Linked DNA regions of Arabidopsis thaliana. The protein of the gene in region 1 interacts with the protein of each later gene in a pairwise test. Each region holds a gene or a part of one and is shown in the gene's direction. Other genes may lie near its edges.

The links.
Region 2: the proteins of UBA1A (region 1) and AT1G03457 interact in binary tests that used the Arabidopsis thaliana proteins (3 or more experiments, as listed by UniProt).

The regions. Positions count from the first base shown.
Region 1 is NC_003071.7:9,388,500-9,392,255, reverse strand, and holds UBA1A (RNA-binding (RRM/RBD/RNP motifs) family protein), read left to right. Parts: upstream 1-1,749; 5' UTR 1,750-1,805; coding exon 1,806-2,849; 3' UTR 2,850-3,206; downstream 3,207-3,756. Other genes in the region: AT2G22088 (uncharacterized protein), read right to left, coding at 3,207-3,454, 3,716-3,756. UniProt on the Arabidopsis thaliana protein: Acts as a component of a complex regulating the turnover of mRNAs in the nucleus. Binds with high affinity to RNA molecules that contain U-rich sequences in 3'-UTRs. May function in complex with UBP1 and contribute to the stabilization of mRNAs in the nucleus.
Region 2 is NC_003070.9:862,257-866,012, reverse strand, and holds the start of AT1G03457 (RNA-binding (RRM/RBD/RNP motifs) family protein), read left to right. Parts: upstream 1-1,640; 5' UTR 1,641-1,993; coding exon 1,994-2,153; intron 2,154-2,400; exon of another isoform or gene 2,401-2,471; coding exon 2,472-2,554; intron 2,555-3,208; coding exon 3,209-3,260; intron 3,261-3,372; coding exon 3,373-3,525; intron 3,526-3,619; coding exon 3,620-3,699; intron 3,700-3,756. UniProt on the Arabidopsis thaliana protein: RNA-binding protein involved in the regulation of flowering time. Acts as a repressor of the activity of SOC1, a transcriptional activator of flowering time.

The DNA.
Region 1 (3,756 bases):
ATGTTTCAAACCTACTTTTTTAGTTTCATTATTTATAGTCTCTTTTAACGAGGTATCTACCCCTATATGAGCCATTTTGAGGGAGATGTGTGCTCAAAGGATGAATTTTCTGTTGCTCTCTGGAAGTCTGTCATTGGTGTTCTGCTCTGTTCTCATAAACCAGTGAAATGTGGTCATTTTGTCTAGAAGATTTAGTTACTAGGATCAATATTGGTTTAAAGTAGTTTGCTATCTCTTTGTTTTCCCTTTTGGAGTCCCCCATTATGGTCTTCTGTCTTCTCCTTACCCATCAAACTCACGTCTGGTTTTCTTCTGTGGCATGGCGTATGTTTTTCTCTTTTGTTTTTCCTTGTTTTTGGTTTTATGTTTTCCCGCATTTTCATTGAATATCTGTTCGCTATAGCTGGAGAAGAAGCTTATGACATTTATAGTTTTGTCCACTATATGTCATAACTGCCAAAAGTCTGTATCTTCCAGCTGCAGTTGTCTTGAGACCCGTTTGTAGGATCAGACATAATGGTTTTACATTCTTGTTTTAAATCTGTCTTTTTGAGTACTGGAAAAAGTTTTGGGACTCTTTCAAAAGCTTCAAGTTGATTTTCTCTGGAATAAACAACCTGAGTTTTCTTTCCTTCAAGCATTGTTTTCTTCCCCATAGGTTTTTATAAGCTTCTCAATCTCTTTCATCACATTCCTCTTTTATGGTAGTGTCGCCCCTTTCTCTTTTGTATTTAAGAGTCCATTTTGATATCAGTTGCCAAGTTTTCTTGCCTAAGTTCAAGATTGTTTTTGGTCATCGGTACTTGGACCCAATTTGTTTTTCACCTTACATAGCTTTGTTCTGGATTTACCTTTTTTTTACCTGCTCGTTATTCATATTCTATATAACTCTGGTTATGGTAGCAAAGCATACTTGTTTTTTTTTTTTTTTTCTTTGGATTTTCACAATGACCTCACAGTGACCGATGATGCGAATGCTTGTTTTCTTAAGAGGATCAATCTTGTTTTCAGTTTTTCGATTTCTTAAGAGGATCAATCTTGTTTCTCGGTTTTTGGTCTTCTCTGCAGCTATCCATCCATCCATATGAATCAACTCGTATTAATCTATAGTATGCTTCAGCTAAATCAACTTTGGTTTGGTTTTGGTCATTTGATTTCGTTGTTTTGTGATCATGATCTTATGAGGGCTTTGTTTTTCTTTCCAATGGGGAAACTCTGAAAATCTTAAGAACAAAAACAAAACCCTCTCTAAGATCTCGGTGACTATTTTTTTAGTTTCTCATAACACATAAAGATAAAAAAGAAAGAAAAAAAAGTTTCAACTGGTGAATGAATAAACAAGTAGCAGAGCGACACCACCAATATGGCTAAAACCTCTGCCTAGCCAGGAATCTTTTCTGACGGCGCTCTAAAAGAAAAGTACCACAAAGTTCACACCCCGTAAAGTTAGGGAGCTTATGGTATTCCGGTTGATGTATAGCCATCATAACTTAAAGCCAGCATCTTGCCATGTAACCTCTACAAAGATCTAAGGCCTTATCTTAAATATAAAGCAAATATTTAAAAATATGTAAAATAATAAAAATATTCAAAATAAACCAATCCAAAAATAATCTAAATATTTGAAAATATATTCAAAGCAAAATACTCGAATAAAAAAAAAATTAAACTGAAAAAATCGGAAAAACGACATCTCGAGGATAAAGTAAATCGAACTCTTGACCCGAGGGGAAACAGGAAACTGAAATCAAAAATCAAAAATCAAAATCCCTAAAAGCTTCTTGACTCGTTTATCCTCTACTACAATGGCGAAAACCCTAGACAAATCTAAGAAGCGCAAACTCGTGAAATCCAAATCCACGAATTTCGATAAGAAACAGAAGATTAACAAACAACAACAACAACCAGAATCCTCAACGCCATATTCAAGTTCAAGCTCCAGCTCTGATTCTAGCGATTCCGAATCAGACAACGAATTCGACCCAGAAGAGCTCCGTGAGCTTCTACAACCTTATTCCAAGGACCAGCTTGTCGATCTAGTTTGTTCCGCTTCTCGAATCGGATCTTCGATCTATTCCGCCGTCGTAGAAGCCGCAGATCGTGATGTTACACACAGGAAAATCTTCGTTTATGGTCTTCCATGGGAGACGACTCGCGAGACTCTTGTTGGAGTCTTTGAAGGTTATGGTGAGATTGAAGAGTGTACCGTTGTTATAGATAAGGCTACTGGTAAGGCTAAAGGGTTTGGATTTGTTATGTTCAAGACTAGGAAAGGAGCTAAAGAAGCTCTTAAAGAACCGAAGAAGAGGATTCTTAATAGAACTGCCACTTGCCAGCTTGCTTCTATGGGTCCTGCGGCTTCAGGAAAGGGGCATGATCAACCTGGTCCGGTGAAGATTAGTATGGGTTCGATGGCTAATCATGGACAGCCTCAGCAACAGCAGGTACAAGGTCAACATGTGTTTAACGGTGGTGGAATGGCTGCTTCGCCGTTTATGTTAGGGAACCAATACCATCCGCTTTATGGAGCTGGGATGTTGGGAAATCCAGCTTTAGCAGCAGCAGCAGCAGCTGGGGGAGGTTACATGTATCCGATGTTAGCGGGTGCTCTAGCACATGGCGGGTTGGGTTCTGATATGGTACAGTCTAGTCAAATGGGTGGGATTGGTGTTGATCCAAGCGTTGGTGCTGCTGGTCTTTCAGCTCTAGGTTCTTACTTTAGAGGTCAGAGTCTGCCTAGTACTTATCCTGATTCGGATGCTGGTGGAAAAAGAGGGACGGGTAAAGATTCGGATGCTGGTGGCTCCTCCTTTCATGGCTACTCAAACTATTCATGGTACGTTCACTGAAACCTTTGGTGTTTTGTAGCAATGTTTGTGCTAATATTGTGGTTTGAATGTCTTTGGATAAGCATAAATTCATTGTAGCTCCGTCATGTGTAGATAAATGGATTAAGGCTTTTGTGGTAGTACCGGAATTTTATCTGACATTATTATGCCTCTCTAGTCAAATAGTTGGCTTAAATGCCTAAATATGTATATTCCTAGGAGGAACTGCTACAGGAATTAAATACCTAAATTATGTTCTAGAGGTAGGTTAGCATTGTCATCGGTTGCCGTAATTCATTATTCATGAATCTTGCTTCGACTCTATTTCAAGTAGATGCAATGTGACCCACCATACTTTTGTTTTTTTTGTTTTCTCCATTATTTTTCCTTTTGTTGGTTTATGTTTTGTTTTCTTTTCTTTACTGTCCCTGGTTTTACAGTTTTCTCAAGTGCCATTTGTTTTATCGAAGTTAGTTTCTCTATAGGTTGGTGATGGTGGGGACGAATATTGTTACATTCTTTTTGTCTCTTGGCTTTTTTTGTTTTAGTGTTGCACTGGGTTTTATAAACTGAACGTCCACCATCTCTCCACTCATCTGGTTTTGGTGCTAACGTCTTTAAACGGACTGTAAACTATAGCATCTGTTCATGCTGTTGCACTCATGGTTTTAGACTTAAGTTTGAGTTTTAACATTTTTTTTATGTTTGTCCCTTTGATTTCTATTGTTTTCACTTTTCGGGGTTATCTTACCAGAAAGATAGAGCATTGCTCTTGTTTCCATATGTTTTTCTTTTTGTCTTCAGCTTTTGATAGAGTTATGTTTTGTTTTGTTTTCTTGAACTCCAACTTTTGCAGATGGTGTGGGCTGAGCATGAGAATGATAAACATGCAGTTTCTGGGGATTTCTTTTTAACATTTCTATCAAAG
Region 2 (3,756 bases), on another chromosome or scaffold:
ATCAATTGTTTTGTTCTTTAATATCTGTAAGTTTGTTTTCTTTTACTTTATGTGTGTAATAAATGGTGATAAGAAGTTGTTGTTTAAAAGGTTTGACCATTATTTTAGATTTTCATAATGTTCTTCTATATGATTGTGGTTTTGTCGAATGATATTCTTTTATATGATCATAAGTCTGAAGACTTTTGGGTCTCACTATGAGGATAAGTAAATTTCCCAAAGATCTGCAAATTTGAAATGCCAGAGACTGGTGAGATGTAGAATCTAACTTTGTTTTTACATAAGCACGTTATCTACTATCTACAGATTGGATATAGATTAATCTAACAACGTATACATATTTTAGTAGACTAATGAATACTTGATTGATATGTCAAACTTTTTCATTGACTTCTTTCATGAAATGCAATAGAAATATTATCATTTACTCACAGAGTAACAGTGGAGATTCTTTTAATACGTTTTCATGCTAAATTAAGCGGCCGAGTGGTTTTTTCTTCTTAATTACTACTACACTATTATCGTTTATCAATGACTAATTCACACAAACATGCACAAAAACCAGAAAACAAGTGGGGTCAAAACGTAAACTAAATAAAGTCAGCGGCCTTCTTTGTGAAATTTGATGTAAGAATCGGAGCTGATGTGGTTATTTATTTCCGAATGGCAAGGACAGTCTGTCATATTTATGTTTTTGCCACTAGTATTTCCTTATATTTACGACACTCTACCCTTATTTCAGTGTCCTCTACTCGTTGTCACTGAAAAATGAAAATGACCTCTCGTGTATGGATATAAATTCTACGGTCAACTAGTATAGTCGTATTTATTTCTATAACTATTTCTCGATTTACTTACTTTTAATTTTTTTTTTTACAAATCTAGAATTGGTCATTGGATTCTCCGTTCCAAAAATAAATAATATGTTACATTAATATAACACATATTATTATTCACTTCATCACTTGTTACAAATAGGATTGGATTGATTTTAATTTAGTTGTATGGTGCGAAAACGATAAAAATGTTTATATTCAATTTAAGTTAAAAATGACAGTTTGCATTTGGAGTTGGTTTGGCTAGATTGAAATGTCCAAACCCTCTTTTCAATGGTGTAATATATTATTGTCTAAAGCTAAAATATATATATTATATAAAATAATTAATATGGAAATTTATAGCCGTGTCCATGTGTATTGTCAAATACTCAAATTTCAACTGCTCAAAAGAAAAAAAAGGTTTTTCTTTTTGTGTTTGTAACTGTGTATGTTTGATTTGGACCTTTAAACAAACCTACACTTTTTATTATTAATAAAGAATTAAATATATAAAAATTTTAGTGATAAAAATATTAGGACATATATCTATCACTACTTTAACGTCAGATGATCATATCCATTATAAGGAGGAATTGATAAAAAAAAATATTAGAATAAAGGTAGACTAACTTTAACAAACGATATCCAACATAAACAAAATACTCACTTTTCTTTAAACCAAACGACAATAAAAATCCAAAAAAAAACTAAACATAAACTAACATTTTGAGTTTTAATGCAGAAGACTGAAGAAATGACAGCTATTTAATTTAAACATAACAAAAAAAATAGTCAGCTTATTCACACACTCCATATTAAAACAAAAACGCGGATAAAATGGTAAATTCGGCATGACAACACATCCATAATCAGACAAAACAATCCGAAAGTGTTCCCCTGGCATCCCACAGGCTCGCCTTCTTGTTTAATTGAACAGCTGTTTTAATGGCAATATCGTAAATTTAGTAATAACGACGAGCCCAGATTTAGTCCGTATTTTAATTTAACCACTTTGTCACCCATTAGTTAGTAGTTCTCTCATTTTTTTTTCTTATTATTATTATTTTTTCCAAAAAAAAGAAAGTAAATAAATAAATATTCAGGAAGAAAAAGCCTGTAGAGAGAGAAGAAGAAGAAGAAGAAGAAGAAGACGACGAAGTCGAGAGAAAGAAATAATGGCGGAGGAGACGATGGAGAACGAAGAGAGGGTGAAGCTGTTCGTCGGACAAGTTCCGAAGCACATGACGGAGATTCAGCTCCTCACATTGTTTCGAGAATTCTCCATCGTCAATGAAGTCAACATCATTAAAGAGAAGACAACACGAGCTCCTCGAGGTTTTTTTTTAATAAAAAAATTCCTCTGTTTTCTCCCAAAGAACGTTACTTTTGATATCTTTTTGTTTTTTTTCTTAGAAGTTTTTCTCTGTTTCGAGGATACTTGTAGATGGTTTTTCGATTCGTCTGATTTTGGATTCTGAAAACCCTAATTTTCTCCGTTTCATTCGTTTAATTTGAACTCTGTTTTTTTCTTTCTTTAATTTGGAAGTTCCCCTGTTTTTTTTTTTTTTTGTTCTTTTTTATTGCGCGTGATTTCTTCGTTGCTTTTATTTTATTTTTGAATTGTGAAAACCCTAATTTCTTGTGGAATTGTAGGATGTTGTTTTCTGACATGTCCTACAAGGGAAGATGCTGACAAGGTGATCAATAGTTTTCATAACAAGAAGACATTGCCTGGGGTAAGTCTTCTTTCTTGTTACCATTCTTGAAGCTGTTTTGCTTAATTTTCTGGGATTTTCTGATATTTGAATCTGATGTTTCTGTGTACATCAAAACTACTTAAGGTGACATTTTTTCAAGCTACTGATTAAAATCTCAGATTGATTTTTCTTCTTTTTATCCGTCTCGATCTGCATTGTACTTGATTATTGTCCCTGTTAATTTTGCATGTTGTTGCTTGGTTATATATATCATATATCCATCGAGGTGAAATCATGAATCTGATTTGGCTGATCAGAATCTGCCCTATCAGTTATTGTAATCTGATGATACTAGTTCGTTTCAAATCCTCTCTAGCTGATTTCTTCAAACCCAAGAAACCACATTGGTCCACTATAGATGTATGTCAGTGGTCACTAAAACGTGCAAGATGCAAAAAGCTAGAACATCTCTAGGAATGAGATTATAGGAACCCAAATACCAAGAGAAAACTTTTGCTTCATTGTGTTGACTTTTTGTTGAGCGATCTTTAACAAAAATTTGGTGTATATATATATCCTTGCTTCTTTCGATTTTTCTGTGGCCGGTATCTGAACATTAGGATGCTTATGGGCTATGTACACTCTTATCCCTCTCTCGAATTATAGAATTCACTTTCTTATGATATGTTTCAGGCATCTAGTCCGTTGCAAGTTAAGTATGCAGATGGCGAGTTGGAAAGACTAGGTACGCAAAATGCTTCTGAGTGATGAAGTCTAAGCACCAAAAGAGTTCTTTTTTTCTTTCTTTCCAGAGTTTGGTCGCATTTTTTAATTTTTGATACCAATCAATTTGATAGATGTTCTTGACTGTTCGTGCAATCCAGAGCACAAACTTTTCGTCGGTATGCTTCCAAAGAATGTCTCTGAAACTGAAGTCCAGTCCTTATTCTCTGAATACGGAACCATTAAGGATCTACAGATTCTAAGAGGGTCTCTACAAACTAGCAAAGGTATGTATCTCCACTTGCTTATGCATCTATAGCAAGCACTCTATACCAGAGTTCTGACTGACTTTAATTATTTGGTTCATTTGGATTATTTTAGGCTGTCTGTTTCTAAAGTACGAGTCTAAAGAACAAGCGGTCGCAGCTATGGAAGCCCTCAACGGAAGACATATAATGGAGGTATGTGCTTATTACATATACTTCTCTCGAACATTCTTGTTATTTTATAAAGACTTG